Caenorhabditis elegans: one gene and its partner. The protein of the gene in region 2 interacts with the protein of the main gene of each other region in a biochemical or structural test. Each region holds a gene or a part of one and is shown on either strand. Other genes may lie near its edges.

Evidence for each region.
Region 1: the proteins of frpr-4 (region 2) and flp-13 interact in a test that uses a peptide from one of them, tested with the Caenorhabditis elegans proteins (one large-scale study listed by BioGRID).

What each region holds. Positions count from the first base shown.
Region 1 is NC_003282.8:7,696,145-7,700,400, forward strand, and holds flp-13 (SPSAVPLIRF-amide), read right to left. Parts: upstream 2,277-4,256; 5' UTR 2,225-2,276; coding exon 2,137-2,224; intron 1,735-2,136; coding exon 1,533-1,734; intron 1,208-1,532; coding exon 1,015-1,207; 3' UTR 785-1,014; downstream 1-784. Other genes in the region: Inositol 1,4,5-trisphosphate receptor itr-1, read left to right, coding at 1-424, 482-559. UniProt on the Caenorhabditis elegans protein: Probable FMRFamide-like neuropeptides. Binds to neuronal receptors such as dmsr-1 to promote sleep in response to cellular stress also known as stress-induced sleep (SIS).
Region 2 is NC_003280.10:5,250,213-5,257,390, forward strand, and holds frpr-4 (G-protein coupled receptors family 1 profile domain-containing protein), read right to left. Parts: upstream 5,318-7,178; coding exon 5,195-5,317; intron 4,581-5,194; coding exon 4,489-4,580; intron 4,239-4,488; coding exon 4,097-4,238; intron 3,823-4,096; coding exon 3,394-3,822; intron 3,349-3,393; coding exon 3,224-3,348; intron 3,109-3,223; coding exon 3,052-3,108; coding exon of another isoform or gene 3,033-3,051; intron 1,030-3,032; coding exon 909-1,029; 3' UTR 708-908; downstream 1-707.

The DNA of each region.
Region 1 (4,256 bases), on a different chromosome or scaffold from region 2:
CATATGGAGAGTTGCTTATGATATGACTTTCTTTGTTGTTCTTATCGTTATTGTTCTCAATTTGATTTTCGGAGTCATCATCGACACATTCGGAGATTTGAGAGCCGAGAAAAACGAGAAAGAACAAATTTTGAAAAACAACTGTTTCATTTGTGGATTAGATAGATCTCGTTTTGACAACCGATCAGTGACTTTTGAAACACATCGAGAAACGGAGCACAATATTTGGCATTATTTGTATTACATTGTGATGCTCCAAATTAAGGATGAAACTGAGTTCACAGGACCCGAAAGCTACGTGGCACAATGTGTTAAAGATCGGAATTTGGACTGGTTCCCAAGAATGCAGGCATTGTCGTTACAAGATTCAGAATTAGACACAGATCAATCGGAAGTTAAACAAATGAAGGATCAGTTGTTGCAGGTAAACTATTTGACTACTTCTAATCTTAAAATCTTTTTAAAATGCTTTAAATTTCAGATGATGACCCTTATGCGAGAGATCATCAGTCAAAATGAAGAATCTCGGGCTTTCATGGAACAATTTCAGCCTCGTTAGACCTACTGAAAATAGATTTATTGGATAGATTTTTATTTGTTTCTTTTTCCAAAACCCATATTTATAACCCTGTGATTGTTTTCCCTTTTCTCGTCACAAAACCTGTTTAGTCGTTTTCAAAACCGGTATTTCAATGTTTTTTTTTACCTGTCTTCAACGTATTTTTATTTTTTCGTCTTTATCTAAGTTTGATTTTCAAATAAAATAATTTTGCTTGAAAGTATTAACAACCGGATAGAACAATTCATTTTTGTGAATTCAAGACGTCGAAGAAGAAGATGAAGAAATGCATGAGTAGAGCCAAAATGAAAATGAACATTGGTTGGGGGAAGAAGAGTGTTTGGGGAAAAGACAGTGAAGGAAGGAAATAGGTGTAGACACACAATCGTCGACTAAATGAGATCCAAAATGAACCACAAACACACACACACACAAAGAAAGATCAAAAAGTGAATTTATTTTCTGCCAAAACGAATGAGAGGAGCTGATGAAGCACGTCCGAAGCGAATAAGTGGAGCAGCTGCAGATCGGCCAAAACGGATGAGTGGTACGGCTGATGGAGAACGTCCGAAACGGATCAATGGAGCTGATGGAGATGCTCTTTTGCCAAATCTGATGAATGGAGAAGCTTCTGGAGCACGGCCAAATCTAGAAATGAAGTACAGATATCACGATGGTTTTCTAATGCAGGTTATGTATTTTGGATTGCTATTGAAACGGTAACTTTGAGGAGTTAAAAACAAAACTGTTGCACTTCAATTCAATAATCAGGAATAGGAAAAATATTGAATTTTTATATCTTGAATTTCAAAAGTGGCGTAGACAAATTTTAGGCAATCTTAATTTTTTTGAAATATTGAAAAGACTGACAGTTAAATGGGATTATGCAATTTGCCGTTATAGAAGTTAAAACTGTTTCTTCTATTCGGAAGCAGCTGTGGGAGTATAATTTTTAAGAAGGGTTGAAAGTTACCTGATCAAAGGAGCCCCATCGGCAGCTCTCTTTCCAAAACGAATGAACGGAGATGCTTCTGGAGCACGACCAAATCTGATGAGTGGTGCTCCATCAGCAGCTCTTTTGCCAAAACGGATCAGTGGAGAATCCATTGCACGAGTCGGTCGATCACTTCGTTTTGAGTTTTCGAGAAATTGAAAGAAGGGATTCTTCGTGTCATCTGAAATAGACATTTGTTTTCGGATATTGAATTTCGTTCAGAGTTCAGATATTTATGTTTTTTATTTAGAAAATAAATTAGATAGCTTTAAAAAACATTTGTTTACGATTCAGATTTCATCAAGTCCTAATGACTTCTGAGAATTCTACAGACTCTAATTTTTAAGTCAGGAGAAATGGATCCATCTGGATTAAAGACATTTTTTTCTGTGTACTACAAACTTCAAGAATACGAAATGAAGATAGCCAAGTTTTTTTTAACTATAGTTTTGATCAAAGTATGTTCAAAAGTAATTTGTACTTGAAATACTTTAAAAAACATATAACATTTCAATCCAGTTCTCAATGAGTATAAGCTTGTTCTAAAAAGTTCTAAAACAATATAAAAACAACAAACACTCACATTGTTCATCGAGCATTCGAATTTCCGACGAATCAAAGGCCTGAATGGCGACGACGAACATTGAGATAGTGAGCAGTGACGTCATCATGTTCGAATCGGAACGGGGCCGAGTTTGAGGGTGTCTGGAAATTGAGGAATCCCTACAAGATAATAATAGATGATAGTAGTCACAGTGGGAGGCGTTGGAAGAGAGAAAAACTTCAAAATAAGACAGGAAATGAATGAGCAAGATTTAAGCTTTTAATCCTAAAAGATGCATGATTTTGCAACTGACCTCCTAATTCCTGATGGCCAATAACTACTACAACTTTTAAAAAGTGTTGTTCAATATTTGTAGAGTACTTTTATAGTCAAAAGGTGAAGACAGAAAATGCGCGCCTACTTCTCGATTTTAATCAGATTTACGCAAGAAATAGAAACAAAATAAAAGAATGGAGGAGGGAAATGCGTAAATGTGACAAGTCAACTGGAATCTGAACAGATGTGTCTCGAGAGTTCGAGAAGATATTCAAAGAAATCAGAATACGTTGTAAATGTCATTATGTTAACATCAACATCACACTTCGGAACTGATAATATTGGAGTTCAAAAGATGTAGTCCAAGTCGCGAAATCGTTTAAAAAATATCATGGTACATGTTTTTAAAAGGTGTCAGAATTTATTTTTAATTGCAATCAAAAAAAAGTAGCGATTACTCAGATTTTGCCAACCATAATCGAAACCGGGCGACTTTTACTTTTATAATCTAATTATGTTTTCACGATTTATACAGGGTGGGCCAAAAGTATGGTAACACATGAAGCGTTCTTTTACATGAGCTTTTCGCGCGACTGCCACGTCATACGCACATTCTTCTATCAAACACTGATAGCTGAATAAATTTCCTTCAATTTGACTCAAAATTTGTAATGTTTCCCAATAAGGTGCGATCTTTATCACCTCGAAAATTTGGCGAACCCTTTCGAAAAAACGGTAATTTGGCACGCGGCACTTCCCACACAAACACACCTCCCACGCACGCCAATAATTTTCAGATGTATGATTTTTATGTTAAATTTAAAGTTAAAGAAGTGAAGAAGCGTTTTTGATTGTTTTTGTAGCATACAAAAATTTTCTGTGTCGACACTGGCGCCAGAACCTTTGAATTTTTCATGAATTCAACTTTGCGAAATTTACTCAGTTTTTTTGGTTTCGCAAGGCGTAACGACCCACAAAATCATTCGAGCTCAATTTTCTAAAAAAATTCTGGAAAGTCAGGTCAAAACGTCTCGAAAAATACTAAAATGAATTTTTCTGCATACTGCTACTCGCCGCTCACATCCATCTTTCTGGCGACTATGCCATTCAAGACTTAACCTACTGCCGCAGTCCATGACAGAAATACCGTGATAGAAATTATTTGGATTTTTGTTTTTAAAAAATCTCTAGACCAAGAGCATTCTTTGAACTATAAAAACTTGTAAGACACTTGATGGATTCCTTGAGAAAAATGTAGAAATCCCGCAGAATGCCGACTTGCGTGCCATAAAGGTCGTGATCTCAAAAGTTCTGAAGGCCTGCAGCGATGCGGATGGGAATATTTTGAAAATTCAAAACGTTCATCTGGTCAGTATTTTATGGAGAACAAACCTTGTACAAATTGATGTAATAACTCTCTCCACTAGTAAAGTTATAGAGCTGCAAACGTGTTACCATACTTTTGGCCCACCCTGTATTTAAATGTAGCAAGGATTGAACAGTGTTCTAGTGTTCTGAATTCCTCAGAAACGCTCCATAGGTTTCGTATATTTGGCAATTTACTAAGATATTGACTGCATTAAAAAAAAATACAAGAATGAATTTGTTTTGACACAAAATGCCGACTAAAATGCTACTACAGTTTTAATTAATAAACGGCTAGTTAGAAAAAATTGAGATTCAGTGTTATTTTCTCATTTTCATGATTTTCTGAAAATTGTTACATTGATATCTAAAATTTCAGTTTCAAAATGACCTATTTAAATGGGGTTAAAGAAAAAAGCGGTTGCAAGTCTGAACATTTTGACTGCAACAAGTGAAATAATGATGTTTTATATCAAATAAATTATAGTCCGTAAGAACACAAATTATGTTCCACCTCC
Region 2 (7,178 bases):
TTGCTGTGGTTAAAAGTCAAAACGGTTAAAAAGAGGTGATGAGGTAGGATGCAAGTGTCCCTCCACCGAGAGTAATTTTGTGGAAAGTGAGGTAACAGAAAAATGAAGGAACTGGTTTTCACCTCTTTTTACTTTTTTATATCCAGACCTCCCACGGTTCCTGGGGTCTTTTTAGCATGACGATGCAAAAACACTTGATTTATTTTTGTTTATTTATTGGTTTATTACCTAAATCAATATTTAATTGGAGTGTGATTACTGTTGTAACATTTTTGAGATATTCAATACTTATGCAACTAGAGAGATCGAGGGAAAATTGGATATTACTAACAGAAAACTAAACGTTTGGAACTAAAAACAAATAAAATTTATTAGGAATTTCTAGACACTTTCATATAAAAATTGTCCCAAAATGGATTGAAGTTACAAGTTCCGAAAGCGTTGCGATGCAGCTTTTGAAACTTCTGTTATCTGAGAAATCATTTTAAAAAGTATAGTTTCAGACTTGAAAATAACAGATGCCCCTAAAGCATTCATAAATATAATACGGCACTAATAAAAATGTTCTCTACCGAAAGGTAAGCGTAGGTCGCCTTCAGCCTATGTAACACTTCTCTGATAGGCATCCTGACTTTTTTGTACCTACATATATATCCAGAACAACTCCATCAAATTACTGTTTTTTTTTTAATTGCATACAAAATTCACACTTTTCAAAAATTTTTATTGATTTTTGTAAAACATCATACACCCGCTGTCTCCTCGTAATACATGCAAAATACCTTGGGGGGTTTGAGTTCTCTAATGAACAAAAAAATACAACAAGAAAAGCCGAAGATCGTATTGAAGTTTGGTATGATCTGAATGACACGTAATGTTTGGATATTTTTTTGTTTTAAATTTTAGAGTTATTCGGAAGAAATTCTTGAATATCGAGTCTTCAAAGATGCTGGCTTATGGATGATTGTGGCTTCTGTATGGTACATGATTTTTGTGCTGCTTCCGTGCCGGTTGATCTTTCGCTTTTTACTGAAATTTTTTTGATTTTATTGGTTTACGAGAATTTCAAGAGCATGTTTTTCATTCTCTGCATGCGGACGTTTTTTTTTTAATTTAAAATAAACTTTGCAAAGTTACTTGTGAGTTTTTCGTCGTTCCAGAATGTTGTTCTAGCTTACTCAGGCAACTCAAATCTAATATGAAAATATTAAATAGCAACATTTTTGTAGTTGGGTGATATTTCAAGATAAAATCGCAATATTCCGAGACTTATTCGAAATCTTTTTAGATTGAGCAATCTTTTGAGAATATTTCGCAATATTTTGAGGTTGATTCGCAATATTTCTGAATCTGAAAATATTACGAAAAATTCGTAATATTTTGAGATGACATAGCAATCTTTTGAGATTGGTTCGCAATCTTTCTGAAATCTAAAAATATTACAAAAAAATGTGTAATATTCTAAGATTAATTTGCAATCTTTTTGCAGTCCATAAAGATTACAAAACACCATTTCCAAATTTCCATCGGCTTCACATGATCGTGATATATATATACAACAATTATGATTACTGTTCCGTTCTAAATTCTCTTTTCTTCCAAATGATAAAAGACTTTTCAAAGTAAAAAAACAGCTACATGAAAATCTATATAATGGAGTATCTCACTGTTAACGGATATTTGATTTTTCGTTGCATATTGTAGAAGGAGTTTTTGCAGAGAAAGCCACAGAATTCACAAATCTGTCCACTCATGTAATTTTTTCTAGATAATTGGCCGGTCATATTATAAATTCAGTCAAACAATCACGAAGATTGGTCAAATACATTAAAGTAGACTTACAACTATTCATTCACGCGTGATGCGTTTGAGATTTTCTGATTTCAATTGAAATCATAAAATATTGTCAACAGCAAGCATGTTCCCAGTATACTCATCATTTTAATCAAATTGTTAGTGAAAATAAATATTGAAAAAATAAAATGTTATTCTCTCTTTGACAAAAATTCGGAAAAATTGCAATTCTAACATTTTTAAAAGCATAACAAATAAATCGTTTTTCAACATTCGCTTTCAAAGAAAGTTATCCAATTTCGCTCTGACACTTAGAAAATTTGCGAAAAGTCACTGATTTCCCATCAAAGGTAACGAAAAGGACGTGCGCCCATCAACTATTTACTTAAGCAATAACTATATCTAGATGCGACACGTACAGGATGGCTCAACAGGTAAGATAATGGTTCATAGACTCAACGACAAGCGACGGACAAGTTCAACTCCCCTCAATGGCAACAAAAGTTCTTCGAGTTATCACAAAACAGTTCTAGAATAGTCGATGAATGCATTTTTAATATTTAGAGACAAATTCGCAATATTTTGAGACAAAATCGCAATATTCTGAGACGAAATCTCAATCTTCGGAGATGAAATCTCAATCTTCGGAGACTAGTTCGCAGTCTTTTGAGACAAATTAGTAATATTTTGAGATAAAACGGAAGTCTTCCTAGAAATTTTCACACTTTCGCAATATTTTGAGATCAAATTGTAATCTTTTGAGACAAAATTGAAATCTATTCGAAATTTTTAGTAATCGTATATGGACGCACTATTTCTCGTTTTTACTACAAAAATATTGCTATTTAATATTTTCATATTAGATTTGAGTTGCCTGAGTAGAAAATTGCCCAACATTTTAATCATTAAAATTAAAACAAGCAATAAGCCGCAAGAAGGCATGTTTAGACAGTTACAGGCTCTTATAAAAGTTTACTTTTTACCGGAATTGTTTAAAATTTAAGCAACCACATGCAATATTATTAGGGAATATTTACGAGAGGCATTTAATTTCAACATTCCAAAAGCTAATGTCTGCCAAAAAACGTATACAATCGTGCTGACTTACATTAAAATTGTACCAATTTTAAATTTAATACATTTTTAATTGATTTTTCAATAAAAACATTTGAAATATAATTTTTAGACATTAGCAAGAGGCATATCAAGAAGCTGGGCAGTTTCAAAAAGCAATACCATCACAAAATTTTTTGATACCTGTCAGTAATGTTCAGAGTTCCATCAGGAAGGCTACCGTGTCGGTATTGATCGGGCCTGATTAATTTTTAAATAAACTTCAAGTTTTTTACATCATTTTCAACCAAAATACATTGTTTTTAGGGCTATATGAAGTTAGGGTTGTATGAATTTAAAATTCGTAAAAACTCACTTCCAAATTCCTTTGATTATTTGCCGGAACTTCTCCGAAAACATGTAATAGATGAAAAATGTTGAGGCGGTGTGAATGATAATGAGGTAGTTAAAAATTTCTCCAAGCATTTCTAGATAAATATTCTGAAATTGTACAGCTCAAATAAAAATTAAACAGATTTTAGCTACCTGAATTGTTAGAAACTTTCCAACAAAACTCTCCGCAAGCTTTAGGGCCATTGAGAAGAAGTGGCAGAATCCAAAGAAAATTGTGATAACCAGAAGCATTACTGTCGTATTTTGCTCTTTTTGTTGTTGAATTGTCATCAAACTTCTTTCCTTTTTCGTTCTTCTCAGCTCGCTGATAATCAACATATTCGCAACAAACATGATCACAAATGGAACGAGATAATCGAATATAATAGAAATGATGATGAAATAAAACATGAAGTACCACCAATGTTTCTCAGAATCCAGAAGATCCCGTCTGAAGAATGCCAAACCATCGATGTATTCAATTTCAAATTCAAAGAATCGAGCAAAATTCAGAACCACTGCGAAAGTGATGATGGCGGCGATGGAGTATGATGATGTGGTGTATCGACACCAGATTTGGACCTGGAAAATTAAAAAATAAATAGAGAAAGCTGGAATTTTAAGCTGCAGTTTTTTCGGATAATTTTTTATTGATTTTTTTTGGAACCATACAATTATTTATCCTTCGTTTAACAATTCATTAATTTTTCGTGAAATTATTCGAAATAGATTCAGGTCACCACATTTTCCATGTAATTTCAAAAAGTAACCCCTGGCGACAAAAATCTATTTCCCTGTTTTCAGAAAAATTTGGTAAGGTCCATTTTACCCGGATATTTTAAAAGTTAAGTAGTACCTCAAGTGGTCGACAAACAGCAATCCATCGCTCAATAGTAATCAATACCATAATATAAAGACTGCATGTTTTTGCCATCATACACAACGGATATACATATTTAGCAGTGTACGCGACGACGAAACTTCTCTGCTCGTCAGTCCTGAAATTAAATAATGTGATTAGAATAATATGTTTTTTAATTTCATGTAACTCCATAGGTCATCCTGAACACATCATAATTTCCTCCCACTTCCTTCTGCAATAACCTTAACACTTTTTCTCGCATTTGTGAAAGAAAAGCGCGCAATATCTTATTTTCCTTCCTGACGTGCTTTCGCTCATCTTGTGTGCAAATGAGATGTGTGTGGGTATGCGTAACACTTTCCAATTTCACACCCACAAAACCTTACCAAATGGGTAGATACATGATGCTGAAAAGTGGAAGAGCGAAGACTAGCAGGAAGATGTCAGAGACGGACAGTGAGTACAGCAGGAAACCGACCTGCAAAAATAACAATTTTACAGGAAACATGATTCTTAGTCTTGGGATTTCAACTTGGAACATGTTTTTTTTAACCATATGTTCTTACTAAATCTTTAGATGGCCAGTTTGAACTAGAAAAAAGTCGATCTGAAAAATTTCAGGCAATTTTTTTCATAGTAAAATAGCTTTGTTAGAAAAGTTGTTTTTCAATCCTCAAATCGATTTTAGGATTTTGGCGAACCTGTGAATCGCTTGAGGTGTTTTGCAGAAAAAAAACAATTTCGGAAGAACAATCCTAAATTTTATTGATTGAGTTAGGTAAAAAATGTTTAGGGATTTCGAAGAAAATTCGTCTTCCAAAACATTTTCGAGATGTTTTCTGACATTCAGAAAAAAATAGAAAAGAAGTAAAAAATGCACTGAACAATTTCAGATTTACCTAGTTCCAATGTTTTTTTTACGGGGAAATGAACCAATCGACAGAATTGTATACTAGAGACCTGGAACTTTCTGAATGCACTTAATTTTTGTTAATGAATTTCTGGAAACCTCATAAATAAATTTTCCCTAAACCGACATCTTAAAGTCATTTGAATTTCAAGATATACTTTTGCTTTAAAACTAGAACTTACCATGGATTTTCTATTTTTACGACTGTATGCGTAAAGTGATAGTAAATTACCAAGAAGCCCAATCAGAATAGTCGGTAAATACACGAAAGCCATTATTCTGTGAAAGTCCATCGAATCCATCATTTCTCTGAAAATGTAACTTTTTGGAAAAAGAAGCCATATGAGAAGAACACGATTGTATTGGCACTTTAGTGTTCTTTGAAGAGCCCATAAAAAGAGCAAACAAGACTCAAAAAAGCACAAAAGCGGGACTGAAAGTGATGAGAGAGTGAAGGAGGAGAAGATCTGCAAATTATTGGGTCTAGACACTAGCCCGGGGGGCAACAAATACATAAGAAAAAAGAGAACACGAGAATTGATAGGAATTTTCATGTCTTCATTTTCCTTGTTTTCCACTTCATTTTCCACTTTCTTCATTCGTTTTTCAGTATATCATCAAAGAACACCAATGAAAAGTAATTAGGCGTTCTGGAAAATGCTGAAAAAATGGAAGAAGAGGATCCTCTTTTTTCTCACCTATTTCTAATTTCGATATGAAACTGACGACTACATCAAAAAAAGAAGAGGAAAAAGCAGAATGAGGAGGAGTCGGTTAAGGTGTAAAGTGGGAGAAGGAAAAGGACAAATTTGAATTTAAATAGAAGAACATCATCTATAATTAGACTTTTGATCCGAAGATCCGGATATCTGTTTTTTTTCAGAGAATGCAATTTGATAATGATGGTTCCCTGTTTTCTTTTTCGAGTTAGATCCAATTAAAGAAACAATTTTGTCTCGTGGGAAGAGCCAAACATGCCAAAGATCATAAAACTGTGTTTATCTTGTTTAGTAAGGATGATAAGGATTTTATGGAAACTTTCAAGGGTTCTTGCAAAATTATGTTTGAAAAATTGGAATACGCTATTGTGAATTAATTCCCAAATAGTAAAGTTTTGTTGGCATACCTTCCGAATTTTTTCATTCTGAGATCAAAACGCAGAAGTCAATTTTTAGTAAAATGCATTTTCTGCAGATTTTGAAATTTTTCATACGTTGCCGACTGATTGTGAGTTTTATTTAATGTAAGTTTGAAATTTAGAAACAAAACATACGTTTTCTTTTTTTTTTTTTGTGAATTTTTTTCGTTGAAAAAAATTCAAAAACTCCAAAAATCGGTGTTTTTATTCAAAACAATTTGGTTATAACTTTTTTCAAAACCAAAAGCCTTTTATGATCTATTGAAAATTAAAAATTCAAAGACTTCTTCAAAAAAATATTATTCAAAATAATAACGTCTGAACAAAAACCATTTCTAGACTAATCGCCGCAGATCGTCTAGAATTTTGTTCTAATGATTTTTAGCGAGCAAATTCTTAAGTCGTGCAACTTTCCAATAAAAATGAAAAGTATATGCTAGCATTAAAAGACGAATTGAAAAATGATAATGCATCTATAAAAGTGAAGCGTCTTTTTATATATCGTTTTCTAAATTTGTCTTCGGAAGCATTGAATGATTTTTAGAAGGAAGTTGAAACTAATGTTGAGAAAAGAACTGATTAAATTTATTATTGTCTAATAAAATAGGGAAATTCAATTTTCCGAATTACGGAAAACAAAACAGGAATTATAAAAATCAAACCACAACTGGTCACGGTCACTAGGAGTAAAATGTGCTAATGAAATCTGCACATCGTTTTTGCAATTTTCTTCCAACAATGTTTCATAAGATTTCAAAGCTAGAATCGAAACTCAAAAGTTTTTCCAAACTGGTGGGTGGAAAACGAAATCTCCATTGTCTAAATGTGGGCGTTTATTTTTCATTTTTGGTTCGTTTTTCTCACTTTTGACTTAAAATTCCAAAGGGTCCGAAAAGCAAGGACAAGATGGCACCGGAAATGTGAAAATTGCCAAAGAGCACGAAACCTTTAATTGAAAAGTTGTGTGTGTGGGGCTTTGTGGAAGAAAGTTTGGAATAGAAGAAATGGAAGGAAGAATGGAGAAATCA